Rhinolophus ferrumequinum: one gene and its partner. The protein of the gene in region 1 interacts with the protein of each later gene in a biochemical or structural test. Links are inferred from orthologs where the notes say so. Each region holds a gene or a part of one and is shown on either strand. Other genes may lie near its edges.

What was found.
Region 2: the proteins of TNFRSF13B (region 1) and TNFSF13 form a complex in vitro, tested with the Homo sapiens proteins (2 studies listed by BioGRID and IntAct). The link is inferred for Rhinolophus ferrumequinum from reciprocal best matches to the Homo sapiens genes TNFRSF13B and TNFSF13.

The regions. Positions count from the first base shown.
Region 1 is NC_046304.1:1,781,816-1,789,167, reverse strand, and holds the start of TNFRSF13B (tumor necrosis factor receptor superfamily member 13B), read right to left. Parts: upstream 3,014-7,352; 5' UTR 2,987-3,013; coding exon 2,926-2,986; intron 1-2,925. UniProt on the Homo sapiens protein: Receptor for TNFSF13/APRIL and TNFSF13B/TALL1/BAFF/BLYS that binds both ligands with similar high affinity. Mediates calcineurin-dependent activation of NF-AT, as well as activation of NF-kappa-B and AP-1.
Region 2 is NC_046304.1:11,314,957-11,322,870, forward strand, and holds the start of TNFSF13 (tumor necrosis factor ligand superfamily member 13), read right to left. Parts: upstream 3,007-7,914; 5' UTR 1,970-3,006; coding exon 1,712-1,969; intron 1,371-1,711; coding exon 1,292-1,370; intron 1,141-1,291; coding exon 1,093-1,140; intron 948-1,092; coding exon 829-947; intron 614-828; coding exon 475-613; intron 220-474; coding exon 110-219; 3' UTR 1-109. Other genes in the region: TNFSF12 (tumor necrosis factor ligand superfamily member 12), read right to left, coding at 3,652-3,903, 4,098-4,222. UniProt on the Homo sapiens protein: Cytokine that binds to TNFRSF13B/TACI and to TNFRSF17/BCMA. Plays a role in the regulation of tumor cell growth. May be involved in monocyte/macrophage-mediated immunological processes.

The sequences.
Region 1 (7,352 bases):
CATATCCATTAAAATGGAATATTTGGCCATCAAAAGGAATGAAGTACTGCTACACACTACAACATGGATGAATCTCAAAAACAGTATGCTAAGTAGAAGAAGCCAGTCACAAGACACCACATTCCATTTTTATAACTTGTCCAAAATACCTACATCTATAGAGACAGGCAGTAGATTAGTGGTAGCCTAGGGCTGGGGGTAGGGAGGAACGAGGCGTGACCAGGTTTCTTCTGGGGATGATGAAATGTTCTAAAGTTAGATTATAGCAATGGTTACACCACTCTGCGAATATTCTTAAAGAAATGGAATTGTCTACTTTAAACAGGTGAACTTGATGGCATGTAAATTATATCTAAATAAAGCTGTTTATTCTACGGGAGGCAGGAACTGGGCAGACGGAAGACAAGGCGGGAAGGCTTTCTGTTATATCACGTTTTGCATTTTCTGGTCTTCCAACATGTAACTACTATCTATTCAACAAGCAAATTTTAAAAATAAGAGGATCAAACAAAATGAAAAAGAAACCCGACCCCTCCCCTCATCTGGGGGGAGGAGAAGGAGAAAGCTGCCACCCACCCCACCCAACTGGGAAGCGATGGGCGGATAAACAGTGGGTTAGATCGGACAAGGGAAGCCTTAGAGAGCTTTCAAAACCTGTTCATCATCGGGAAGCAACCAAGCCACTGGGCCTAAAGAGGACATCTGTACCAACTGGCCAGATTGCAGACACCCCACTGACCAGTGGATACTGTCCCTGCTCTCCCTTCTTCCACCACCACCTGGACCTATATAAAATCTCAGAACCATCATCCAGCCTCAACGAGGGGCAGGAACACCCCCAAATTGACACCTGCCAGGCAGAACAGAAGCTTAAGAAAGAAGCTCCATTAACATATGGGGAAGAACTCCTCTGTGGGCCCGGCTCATACCCTAGGCTCTCCTGCACGCTGAGACCAGACAGCAGCCAGGAGAGACGATTCTTGGAGCCTCTGGCCTGTATTTCCTCACGTACTTGACCCCTTAATAGGTGCTATATCAAGAAAGACCTCTGTGGTCAAATTAATTTGAAAATCATTGGGTTAAAGGTCAAAGCACTATAACTGCAACCCTTCTGAGACCCTTTGCTTGTGACTCTTCAAATGGGGCTCCGGCAGGTTCAAAACGCTTTTATGTTTTTGAGGAACATCTGGTGTGACAGAGGCCCTTCTTCATTTTACAGCTGAGGAAACAGAGCCCAGAGAGGTAAAGGGGATCACCCCAGGTCACGCAGCAAGTCTGTGAACAGCGGGAGCTAGAACTCCTGACTCCCAGCCAGGGCTGATTCTACTGCACCAGATCACAGCTTCCTGACTCAGTCCCGGGCAATCTCGCGAAACCGCCTGGTCCAACTCTCAGAAATTTTATATATTTGAGCCCTTAGTTTGGGGACATGTCTGGGTTTATGTGGTCGCTGGAAATACGAGGGAAGCAGAGAAAAGATACACTCCCTGTCTAAGGTGCAGGGGGCAAAGCGGCAGGGAGCAGCATGCAGATCCAGGCCATGCCACTCATGACCATGACACATCCTCAAATCCAGCCTTGGGTCCCCTCTGCACGGTGACAGACTTGAATCTGCTCATCTGCTTTAGCAACCTATGGGCTGAACAAACCTTTAAAACCTGCCCTGATAAAAATTCTTCAAGATAAATGATCCAGTTTCTTCAAGAAATAAAGAGCAAGGAAACAAACAGTGAGACAGAATGGTAATTGTTATAGATTAAAACATATAACAAAATGTATAATGTGGGCTGTCTTTGGATCCTAATTTGAACAAATCAATTGGAAAGACATTGATAAGACAATTGAGGCAGTCTGACCACTGGCTATATGGTGACACTAAGGAATTATTCTTTTCAGAAGTGGTCATGGTATGATGGATGGTTAGTTTTTTTGGTTTTGTTTTTTAAAGAGTTTTTGTTTTTAAGAGATAAATCTGAAGTATCTACAAATCAAACAACGTGGTGTTTGGAATTTGCTTTGAAATGATCCAGTAGGGACGAAGGGGGTAAATGAGGGACATGGATATTAGAAGGCTGGCCATATATCGATAATTGTTGAAGCTGGTTGATGTATGCAGGACGGTGTGTTAGACTCTCCTCTCTACCTTTGCTTAAGTGTCAACTTCAAAAGAAAATATTTTTAAAATGTCCTGATCAATTTGGCTCTGGGTTCTGGGACCAGTTTGGAGTGGGGTGGGGGTCACGGAGGGAATTCCGGTCTGTGTGGCTCACCTTCCTGCCTCACCACTCCTTTCCTGGAATGCAAGGCGCAGACCCCCTGTGGGGACAGGGCCCCAAACAGCAGTTTCCAGGCTCTCGGCCTCACATAGAAAGGTAGTAAATGGCCATCGACTGTGATCAAATGGCCATCAGCTGTGGCTAGTTGGCCGTCAGCTGTAACCAGTGAGCCATTAGCCATGAATATAACTGCCCTGGCTAGGCTAGCAAAAAGGGGGGAGCTAGCGAGAAGATGGTGGCTGAGCCTGCAAGCGGCGCAGTGAGGGTTGAGAATTGTGTGGCTCCTGTTTCCTGTTTCTCCAACCCAGCCGCCAGCGAGAATACAGTGGTATGACTCCCCTACCTATGGCTCCGTGGGTGTTCCTTTTTGGCCTCACCATGTCCTGCGCTCTTATGTGGGGAGCGGGACCAGAGACCCCACCGGACGCCCTGCACGACACTTGGCTTAGTCGGCAGGATCCCCTGCACGACACCCCCAAAGGCCCAGACTCCAGGTTCTGCACATGCGGGGACGTGGGGAGGCCCCTGGACCTCCTGAGGTTGCTCACCTCCTGTGGGCGCCACGCCCACCAAGCCCCACTGAACCCACACCCGGTCCCCCAGGCCAAGCCCTCCTCGCGCCCACTCGCCTGCCTCCGCAGTTACTCACATGGCTCCTCCTGGCCTGCCCCGCTCCAGCCACCTTGCCTGCTCCGGCCCAGGCCACTCATTACTCAGGATGTTATTATTAGGCTTAGATTTGATTAGTGCCTAGCCTGCACTTCCTGGGTTTTCCCCACAACCTGTAAAATGTAAATCAGCAGAACCTACTCCCACCCCCACGCCTGCGCAGTCTGTCTCATGGGCTGAGGTGGGTGGACTTGACGCTCCAGGACTTGGGTCTGGTGCTGTCTGCTGAACCCGCACTGCACTCACGGTGCCCACAGGGCGCAACGAACAGGGGAAGAGCTGGCCTGGCCTTGGGATGGGGTCTAAACTCTAATTTGGCCCAGATCTGGCCTTGGCCCATCATTTGGGCCCGGTCTCCTGCTCCAGTGTACAGACCCCAGGCTGCAGCCAGGGTGAACCAGTTCTCCAGCCTCCAAGCGTTGCTGAGGCATCTTCCCTCTTCCTGGACAACTTTTTCATATTTTATTGCCTGATACTCTCCTGTTCCTTCTTCAGGCTCAGTTTCATATTTTATTGCCTGATACTCTCCTGTTTCTTCTTCAGGTGCCAACTCCTCCAGGAAGACATCCCTGACCACTCCAGGCCAGGTTAGGAGCCCATTCTGTGCTTCCTAAGGCCTGTTCTTACCCCTATCAAAGAACTCAAGAGGCTGACACTAGAGCCAGACAGCCTGGGTTTGAATCTTGGCTCTGCTACTTACAGCCTTGGTGGCAATATACTTAACTTCTCTGTGCCTCCATTTTCTCTTCTGTAAAATGGGTATAATAACGGTACCTGTCTCACAGGTTGTTATGAGAATGAAATTAGTTAACAGTTAAATTCTTAGAGCAAGTTCTTGGCACATAGTAAGTTCTCAATAAATGACATTAGCACTGTAAGGTTTATTACACTGTTGTAACTTTATTTCTATTTTCCCAACTCCTCTGAAACCTCTGCAGGGATAGGAAGCCCAGTAGCTTAAGGCTAAAGTGAGATGAATTTAGAAGTCATAGACAGCCTGTGGAGTTTAGGAAGTAAACTTTGAGGAATGGGAAGACGGATTCAGGCAGGTGGAGAAAAAGAGGGAAGGCTTTGGGACAGGTGAGAGGACAGGAGGGAGGAAAGCTGAAGGCTGATTTGGATGACAGTGAGCCCAGGAGGAAAGGAAACACAAATGGTTGATAAACCTGAAAATCACTCATCAATACTCAGAAAAATACAAGTTAAACAATGAAAAACTAATTTTCATCCAGCAGGTTGGCAAAGTCTTACAATTTGATAATGTTAAGTGCCAGAGGTAGTCTAGGGAAATGTGGACTCACACCCTGCTGGGGGGAGGAGTTGGTACCGCCATTTTGGAGGGCAATTTGCCAGGGTCACTTAAAATGTGGAACATATCCCTAACCCACGACCCAGAAATTCTTCTCCATACGCCACAGACGCACATGAATGTTCACCGAAGCACAGTTAACAATACCGAGCAACCCGAACAACGTAAATGCCGGTCCAGTGGAGGATGGCTGAATGAGCAAGGTACAGAGATCATACCCCGGAGTCCTATGCAACAGGTAAAAAGAATGAGATCTATCAGATTGTTGAGATGGGAAAGATTGTCAAGACAGATCGTTGAGTGGAAAAAACTAGTTTACAGCATGATACTTACAGTTAAGAGGCCTTTTAGTAAAACAAACACACAAAGGACACACACAAAGCTGCTCTGTATAGTCTGTGATCACTCACCACGTTCCCCCGAAAATAAAACCGGGTCTTATATTAATTTTTGCTCCATTAGGGCTTATTTTCAGGGATGTCTTATTTTTTCATGTAAAACAATCTACATTTATTCAAATACAGTCATGTCATCTTCTTCTGGAACATTGTCACAACGTACTAAATGCGTCCGTCTGGCTGATGATCTTAACTGGGGCTTATTTTGGGGGACACACGGTACCTGTGCATGTGGTACAGAGGTCTGAAAGGATACGTATGACGACAGCGACTGCCTCCAGGTCGGGCAAAAGGGGCCCAGGCTTAGGGTTGACGGTAGAGAGGACCTTAGCCCTATTTGTAATGTTTTAATGTTTCACACGGAGAAGATAGTCAGGTATTACTTGTGTCAATGAAAAGTAATGAAACCACAGCTGGGCTGGTGAAGTAGATTTGGGAGCCAGAGGCAATCCTAGATTCTGTTGCCTGTTAAGGCAAGCCCAGAGTCACTGTTGAATCTCTCCTTACCTTCTGTTTGCATACCCCTTTTAGGACCACCATCCAAAGCAGCTGGCTTCTTGAGGTTTAGCTCTGACTGTTAGAAAGCTCATCTCCATCTTTTGAGCAGACTGTGCTGTCCTTAAACGGACCCACTGGACTGAACGCTGCTCTGTGAAGCCACATGCATTATCTTGGCCAATAAGGTAGCCCTTTGGCGTCTGAAGCCAGTGTAGGTTGGGTGTGAAATGGAAAACAAACTCCAACCTGACTTTTGGGGTGGCTGAGAATTGAATGGTAGGGTTCCCTAACATCTCTTTGCTGACCATTGCTTGTTAATGCTTTTACTCAAACACCATTTACAAATAATAGATTTTACTTGCTTTCTGTTTTCTTTAATTAAAGGTGTCATTTACCTGCAGGGAAATGCACGTATTTTAAGTGAGCAGGCCACTTAATGTTTACATATGTGCCTACCCAGGCAACACTATTCAGATCTAGGCTTAGAACATGTGCATCCCTCATCCTTTCCTCCAGGCAGGACATCCCACCACAGATTAGCCACTATTCTGACTTCTGTCACCATAGATTCCTTTTGCCTGTTTCTGAACATTGTATAAATGGGAACACACAAATGGGATCATCCACTTTCTTCTGGCTTCTTTTGATTGACATTAGGTTTTATTAAACCAGACAGAACAAAGCTGTGGAGCACTTCAGGGGAAAGCTGTTTAGTCTTTGTGGGCCTCATTTTCTCCTGGCCAAATGGATGAACAGGAAACTCAAACAAGAAAGCACAGGTGAAAGCACTGTGACCCCGTTCCCGCGCTGCACGGTTGCAAGCAGAACAGGTGCTGGAGTTTCTGAACCTCATTGAAACAGCACTTTCTGAGCTGTCTCCAGAGGAATACAGGATTTTCATTTTAAGTTCCGCAGTCAAAGTGACAGAATTGTTTTGGAACCCAGAGTAAAGATACCTTGTAGACCTCAAGGTTTTTGAACTGGTTCATTTACATATGTATGCTTAAGCAGTTACAATGAGCACATGCTAAAGACAAATTCCAACAGCGTGAAAGGGAATACAGAGAAAAGTACTTTTCTCTCCCATCTGGATACCCTAGGCCACTGTTTCCGTACTCAGACAGCTGATCCTGTGCACACAGCCCTGCAGCAAAGCCCAGCATCTGTGTGTCATTAAATGAAAGATACTGCTTCATCCTCCCCCCTTTTTTGGTTATTCTTTTTACACAATTGCTGGCTTATATAGATTAAACACACTGTTGACATGCTGCTTTTTTCACTTAAAAAGCCTATCAATGAATCCTTCTCTCTCTCTTTTTTTTAATTTTTACAAGAGTTTATTTGAATCAAATTGACAACACATGCTGGGGAGCAAGATAGCAAATGTTCCCTAGTCCTTCTCTTTTTAAATGAGCTCTTTAAATGCTCATTAGGAATAATAACAGCAAGCACTTACGAGTGTTCCACGTACTGTTCTAAACACTCCACACACATCATTTAACATATATTCTGTCTTCATGTCTCGTCAGATGGCTTAAGACCCTTAAGTGGAATTACTAGGTCAAAAGGAACAGTGTTGTTGTGGGCACAGAGCCAGGAGTGCAGTTTCCTGGCTCTCGGCCTCACGTGGAAAGGTGCTCGCTCAAGTAGTAAATGGCCATCAACTATGATTGGATGGCCATCAGCTGTGGCTAGTTGGCCGTCAGCTGTAACCAGGGAGCCGTTGGCCACTAATATAACTGCTGTGGCTTCACTAGCAGAAAATGGGGGCTAGCAAGAAGATGGTGGCTGAGCCTGCAAGGGGTGCAGTGAGGGTTGTGAACAGTGTGGCTCCTGCTTCCTGTGTCTCCAACCCAGCCGCCAGCGAGAATATAGTGGTATGACTCCCCTACCTATGGCTCCGTGGGTGTTCCTGTTTGGCCTCACTATGTCCTGCGTTCTTATGTGGGGAGCAGGAGCAGAGACCCCGCCGGACGCCCCGCGCAACAGTTGTCTTGATCAATATTTTCCAATGAGACTGTTCCAGTCTACGCAATGCATCTGTGACATTTTGGCCCCAAGGCTCCTGCCCACGCTAGGTGTTGTGGTCTCTTCTGAGGCAGGGAGCGCTTGATTCCTTCATGGACTGTCTGCCACCCTACTCTGTCCCCCTTGAGGTCATGCCATTGAACCTTCTCTGAGAGTATAAGATGTAAGACAAAA
Region 2 (7,914 bases), about 9.5 Mb from region 1:
AGAGGCCTGTGTTCCTGCTCATTCCGTGCTTTGTCTAGTCAACTCTTGGCTGTCTCCAGTATGTACCAACCCTGGTCTTCCAAGCCCAGAACCACCTTTTACAACAAAATCACAGTTTCACAAAACCCAGGAAGGTTCCATGGGGAGAGAGGCTAAGTTTCGCCCTTGCTCGCGGGATTATGACACTAAGAATATCCCCTTGGTGTAAATGGAAGACACCTGAGAAAAGGGAGAAAAACGGATGCTCAGTGAAGCACAGCCAGGAACATACTCTGATGTTTCACCCTCCCTTTTCCAGCTCAACCTTTTTACTGCTTCCTGTAAGGACCTAGGTGTTGTCTTTCGTTCCTCAGATCCACCTCTACACCTAGGCTTCCAACCCCCTGTTACAGCTCTCCCCTTGTCGCTACTACTCCTAGGTCAGGGATGTCCTGCTGTTCTCACATCCACCCCCTACCACCCACAGGCTCTTACCTGCACTGTAGCAGCTATTGTAAGCCCAGTCTGGGTTGGAGGGCATACTTCGTATACATCGGAATAGAGTCTCCTGCCTTCCCTGGCCCTCCCGAGACACCACTTGACCCATGGTGAAAGTCACATCATGAAACAGAACCTGGCAGGGAAGGGAGGAGATGTTGAAGAAAACAGGGCAGTGTTGCTCAGTTCTGGGAGGCCTCAGGAGCCCTGACAAAGGAGCCAAGGAATGAAGAAGGGTCTTCTAAGTTTGGTATGACCAGAGGGTGGGGAAACCTCAGTATTGGGGCATAAGACTCTGGGAGAAAAGGCCTCCAGGCCCCTACATGAGGTTCGATGTTTGTTTGGGGTTACCTGGCTGTACAGCAGATAAACTCCAGTATCCCAGACTCGAACAACATATCCTTGGGCCTCCAGGCCTCTCCCACGCTTAAGAGCTGGTTCCCACAACACCTCTGTCACATCAGAGTCCTCTGGAGGTGAGGAGTGTGGCAATCAGGATTTCTATGCATTCTCAGGTACTTCTCACCTTTCAGATTCTCTTGGGCCCAGGTGCCAGCCCCGGAAGTTCCCAGATCTTGTCCCTCCCCAAAAGCCATGATTTAAAATCGTGCTCACCCTTGGAGGTAATGTTAATGGGAACAAGATGCAGAACTGAGTGCTTCTCTGAGGAGAGAAGGAGGAAATCTCAGCAGTGTCCACCTACCCCAGTTGCCCTGTTGTCAGCCCTCCACCCTTACCCTGTCTTGGGGTAACAATCTCCAAATCCCCAGGCTGCTTGATCACTCCCACCCCTGCTGCACCCTGGAGGCCTCACTCTTCGGTTTACGGGTGAGCGTGGCTCTCCTTCTCCGGGGTCTCTCCCCATTCTCCCAGCCTTCCAGGCTGTCAGGGCTCTGTTCATGGAAAGAAGGTCAGGGTTAGGCTAAGATGCAAAAGTCCCAGACAGCCTTTCTTTTCAGCCCTTCCACCATCCCGGGCACGCCCCACATCTCTCATGCACCTTTCCCCAGCAACCTGAGTCTTGGTGCTGGCTGTATTCCAGGATCTGGTAGGTACAAGAAGCATTAATCTTTAACAATTTCTTTCCTGGAATGGCTACTCCCTTGACCTCCAAACCCGGGACCTCTCTTGCACCCACTTGAAACTTTGCAGACTAGGAGTCTGGAACCAAGAGGCCCAGAGACAACCCTGCCACCCATCCTTCTACCCCAGACACCCTTCTCCCCTCACTCACCTGCTCCCGGAAGCTCAGCCATGGATATCCTTCCCCCTTCTCAGAGGGCCCTCCAGTCCTCTGCAGCCGGGTCACCTCTCTCCTTAGGGTTTGCAGCTCTGTTTGTTGGGTCAGCAGAGCCATGGCACAGGCCACAGCCCCCAGAGCTGCCCCCCAACTCAACCAGAGGGCAACTGAGAGTGCCGGTTCTCGGACCTGGCCCCTCATGTCTCCTGGGGGCGCTTTGGGGGCTAGCAAGGAAGGAGATGAGGCTGGCATGAGCTGGGGACCCTGCCAACAGCTATGGTCTCAAGAGTGGATGGCAAGGAGGTGGCAGGGAGGGTGGGAGTGCAGGCAGTGGTGCAGAAGGGAGGAAGGGCGTTACGCAAGGGAGAAATAAAAAGGAACTTGAGAATAAAAAGGAGGGAGGAAGAAAGCAAGCTAGGGGCACTGTTGGTGCTCCTGGCACCCCGCTGTGGGGCCAATGTTGTCTTGAGACCCCGAACCCTCCTCCAGCCTCAGGAGAATTTGGTGTCAGTCTCTCTAGGAAGCACGGGGCTGCCAGTGACACCCAGGAGGAGCGGCCAGAGCACAGGAACCCTGGGGCGGCCCCAGAAGTGGGGGAGGGAAGGTTGGCTGGTTATGGGGCATGGTGCCAGGAGCAGGGATGGAGGGACAAGCTGGGCAGCATCGAGGGTCAAGGGGTGAGGGTGGAAGATCCTCTGGGCTCAGGCCAGGGAGAGATCTCTAGGGAAGTTTACTAGGAGTGACTGAAGGTGGGAAAGGACGGAAGGGGGCCAGTGGGGAGAACTAGGGTCGCGGAAGAAAGAAACTGGCTGAGTTCTGGGGTTAAGGCCAGGCCGGGTGTGTTGGAATAAGGCCTGCACTACTCCCTATGCTGAACTTGGCAAGCAGGACTTCCTGTTTCCAGAGAAAAGCTCTTACATAAGGCTCTGGACGAAGAGAGAAAGAGACAGCCCCAAGCACCCTACCACTGTAGGATTCCTGCCCTGGATCCTGGGGCACAGGTTTCCATGTTCCTGGGTCCCACTGTCCTGCTTACTGACCCTGAAGCCCTCTCTAGGCCTGCTCCCACCCCACATCCCCGCCAGGGCTAGTGCCAGCACCTGCTGAATGTCCTGAGACTGCCAAGAGGAAGGGCCCTGTATCTCCCAGCTAGGGATTCCCCGCGGGAGGAAGCCCGCCTCCTAGGTAAATGAGGCTGCTTCTGCTGGACCTTGGGCAGAGGATTAATCTTTTTTCCTGGCAGTTTGCCTTTCCACTCTCAGGGGTTGGAGGCATGTGGGTCCCCACTCCCAAACCTGCACACAGCCCTGGAATTCCAGGTGTTTTACACCCCGCTCCCCAAGGCCCAAGACCCCCTTCCCAGGGCCCTCAGCTACCCTGAGGAGGTCCCCTAAGCCCCAATAAAGAGAGCGACCATGACTTATTCTCTTTAATATCCACTTATCAACATTTTGTCACAATAATAATAAAAATAATATCTTTTAAAAATCCACAGGATATTATCAGGGAGGAACTTGTCTTGGTCTCTTAGCCCTCACATTAGGGAACTCCTGGCCTATTCCCAGTCTCTTTGGCATCCAGCCCTCTTAGTGCCTGAAGAGGGGTACTGGGGACCCATCCTCACCCAGAGTACAGTAAACAGTGTCTCAGGGGGCTGTGGCCAGAGTGGGGAGTCAGGAGATACATAGGGGCATCAAAGATCAGGGGTTCAGAAGCTAGCGAGGTGGAGAACCAGAGGTGGGGGGAGTTGTCGGAGACGAATGGGAATATTTATGTGGCAAGGAAAACACGTGAACAAGCCCTGGCAGTCTACCCAGGGAGAGGCAGGTCTGAAGGGAGCAGCAGCTTAGGGTGGGGCAGAGGGGGCTGGGGTGCTCAGAGAGTTGTTGTGGGGAGCCAGCAGCCTGGGTAAACCACCGTGAGACCAGGGCCCCTCAGTGAACTTGGAAGAGTCCAAAGTAGGTGAGAAAGGGGGCAGCCTTGAGATGGGCCCAGGGGAGGGTGCGGATCCGTAGGGAGGACCCTGGCCGCAGGGGCAACAGGCCAGACACCTGGCAGAGACGGAGCTGGGGCCCGAGGGAACTTGCTGCAGTGGCAGAGAATTCTTCTAGGCAGCGCAGGGCCAGCGTGTCATCAACCAGCAAGTCCAACTTCAGGTAGACAGCCTTCCCCTCGTCAAAGTGCACCTGGGGGTGGGGGGGAGGAAGGTGGCACAGTCCAGGCCTCTGCTTGCCCCCAGTTTCAAATTTCCTTAGAGCCAGATATCCTCCCCAGCTAAATCCCCAAGCTCCCCCTCCCCACCTTTAGCTTGCCCCCACCCTCTAAACCAAACCCTTCTCCTTCAGTTCTTGCTTTACCCATGCAGCCAGGTGGGGCTTACCTGACAGTACAGGTAGTAGAGCCCAGCCCGAGTGACTATAAATCCCCCGCTCTGGCGGTCATAGCGCAGTGGGTTGGAGCTGTTGATTTTGGCCTCTTCCCAGCCACTCACCGTCCCGTCCACACCTGAATGTGGATGTTCAGAGATAGGGGAAAGTCCCTTCACAGGACTCACACACTCCCTGCCACCAAATGAGTTTATAAACCTTTAGGGCCCACCTTACCCAGAAGATAAATAGATAACCCAGGACGAGGAAGGAGCCATAGCCTGTGGAGCCCATAGTGTAATGAGAAGTTATGTGAAAAAATCCGACTTATACGACGAGAATCACACAGAGCAAGCTGTGACTAGACTCTTCTGGGGAGAAAAGTAGGACTGAAGGAGAAGCGTGGGGGTTTTTATATTTTGTGTTGATAGTGTTTGCCTCTTTTAATTTGAGAATGTATACATACATTACTTGAATCATACATTACTTAGATTATTAAAATTAAAAACAATAAAATGGTACCCACATGTCCATCAACTGATGATATGGAAAATTGTCATTTTCCATATAATGGGATATTATTCAGCCTTCAAAAGAAATGCTATGAACCTTGAAAACATTATGCAAAGTGAAAGAAGCCAGTCACAAAGGACCACAGAGTATCAGAGAGACAGAAAATAGATTAGTGGTTGCTTCGAGCTGGTGTGGGGGGGATGGAAATCAGAGAAATAGCGGATGATGGCTAAAGGGTATGGGGCTTCTTTCTGAGGGGATGAAAATGTTCAAAAATTACTGTAGTGATGGTTGCACAACTGTGAATATACTGAAAACCATTTAACTATATAACTTCAGTGGGTGAATTGTACGGTATGTGAGCCCAGCTTTATCTCAATAAAACCGTTACACACACAAAAAAAATCTAGAGCTAGGGTAATAGCAAATTGCAAAGAAGATAAATAATAAAATGACAGAACAGGACCTTAAGTGGCTTCCCAGTTTCTCCACAGCCACCCTGTCTACCTCTCCAACCTAATCTCACACACCCCTCTAACTCACAACACTCCACCCACTCTGGCCTTCTTTCTATTTCTGCCATCAAGCAAGCTCCTTGTCCCTGCAGGGCTTTGTACTGTTCTCCCCCCTTCCCAGAATGCGCTGCTCTGCCTGGCGCATTCTGTCAGTCAGGTCTCAACTCATGTGAGGCCTTCCCTGGCCACCCAGTTTAAAATAGCCAGTCCCAGCCCTGCCTTCATAACTCCTCACCATGTCACCCTGTTTCTTTCATAGTAGTCACCAACATGGGAAATCATCTGGTTTATTTGTGTACGTGATGGTTTGGGGTCTGACTCCGCTAATAGGACAGGGACAACGGTCCTATTCACCACTGTATCCTGGCACCTGGAGCTGGGCCTGCTCTGAGAGGGCACCCAGCAAACACTGGGGGAAAAATAGAGGGAAGTCGGCGAACGTGGCCAACAGCTCTCTGTTTGGGTCCACAGGCCACTCTCCTGGACCTCACGGGCTGTGTCTCAGCAGCCTCAGCAGCTGCCTTCCCCATCCTTCATCCTCCGCCAGCCCCAGGGTCCCATCCTTGTTACTTTCTCAAGGAAAATGTACAGCTCTCTGGGCATTTTCATTTCCACCTGTGGGTTATCCCGGCCTTTCCCTGCAGACTCAACCCCACCACACCTCACCCTATCAACTGCTGCCATTTGAATAGCCCTGGGAACCTCAAACTCATCTTGACCAAAACTGAGCTTGGTGCCCCACCCCAAACTTCCCTTACTGTCTGTATTCCACATTCGGCTTACAGTTCTACTCCCACAGAGTACCTAAGCCTCCCTCTCCTTCACCAACTTTTTTCACCCATTAACTGTTCCTAGGAATTCTGCCATCTAAATGGCTCTGGCCCATCTCCCTCCCAGGCTGGCTCCTGCCACTTCTCACTTCTCAGCCTCCTTTCTTATTGGACTCCCTTTTTCCAATCTTGCTGCTCCAGTTTATTCCCTAAGCAGAGCCACAGAATGATGCTTCTTCTTTTCATTTTTTTAAAGAGAAAAATAACCAAATTTAGTATATGCAGATGTATGGAACCCCGCATACATGAGAGTGTCAGAGACCTTACATGCACGAGAGGTTCCAGAACGATATTTCTAAAATGCAGATGTGAGCCTGCCTCTCCTCACTGTGACTTCAGAATAACTCCCAGATTTCAGTCAGTTGTGATCTGGCTCCCACATTCTTCTCCAACCTCATGCCCCGTCCTACCCCTCTAGCATTTTCTCCTTCAGCTACATGGAGCTTCTCACGGTCCCCAAGCCTCATCATACTCTTGGCAAACTCAGGGATTTTGCACAAGTGGTTCCTCCACCTGGAAAGTCCTTGACCCCTTGTCCATCTTACATTCATGCTTCAAGGCCCAGGGAAGCCACATCTTCTTGGGGAGGGAATCCCTGACTCCATGGAAAATTTCTTATCTTCCTCTATGCCACCATGTACCTCTGGCTACTTTCAATGTTGTTCTTGTCATAGCATACCGTAATTTATATGCTTGTCCCTTCTAGACAGTAATTCCTTGAGAGTAGGTCTGGGTGTTATTCATTGTGGGCACCTACCTGGGTCCTTCCAAACAGTAGGTTTTCAGTGCATGTGCGTTGAGTCAAAGAATGAATGAATGTCTGGGTAACTGCTGAAATAAGTGGTCCACAAAAAGAGGAGGAAGTCTGGTTTGGGTCATGAAGAGTAGGGGGAGAGAATGAGAGTGGGTGTTCCTAGATATGGAACCAGCTTGAACAAAGGCTGGTTGTGGCCAAAGGGCATGTTATGCCTGGGACCGCGGTGTCACTCTGTTTCACAACCACAAACCTCAAATGGACATCCCTTACTTCCTGGCAATCCTCCTACTTTCCCTCACTAAGCCACTCACCAAGATAAGGATTTTGTACCATCTCTCCTCAAACTTACTGCCTCCTGTCTCCCTAGTTCTCCAAAGCACCTAAAAGTCAGCAGGCGACAGCTCCCTCACCTCTCTGCACCAAAACTACAAACCAACCTGCTCTCACTTTCTCCAATGCCCCTCTTGTGATGATGGGATGACGCGTCTCTCTCTTCATTCTTGAATCCATCCCCTCCCACCTTCTCATACATTGCCCTACAGACTTTCCCCACCCCTGCATCAGCAATCGCCTCTCCCAGGGACCTTGTCCAGTACACAAGCACACTCTAGCTGGGTTCAAATCCCAGTGGCTCTACCACTTAGTATTCTCATGACCTCAGACAAGTTAAGTAACTTCCAACTGGAAAATGATCAGAATATCTTCCTTTTAGGACTGTTGGGAGGATTAGATGAGATCAGTAAATGGTAGCTAAGATTCACGTAGTATTTCTTATCACTAAAAAGACTGAATTTTTCCTTGATCCACATCCTCCTCCACCTACTGGCCAATTTCTCTACTCCTGTCACAGAGAAACATCTGGAAAGGGTTGTCACTATCTCCAATTCCTATTTCACGTTTTCTCTTAACCCAATTCATGCTGGTTTCCAACCTAATTATACCACTGAAACCACTCCTGTCAAGGTCACCAGTTGACATTGAACATTGCCAAACCCGGCAGTCATTTCTCTGTTCTCTTCTCATGCGACTTCTCAGCTGCATTCAACACAGACAGCCACATCCTCCTTCTTGAAATTGTGTCTGCTCTTAGGTTGTATAACACTGCCCTCCCTGGGTTTCTTTCCCTCTCTTTGGCTACTTCTCAGTCTCTGCTGGGTTTTCCTTCTCTTCTAGATATCCAAGAGCCTCAGGGCTTTGCTTGTGGGGCCCTTTTTTC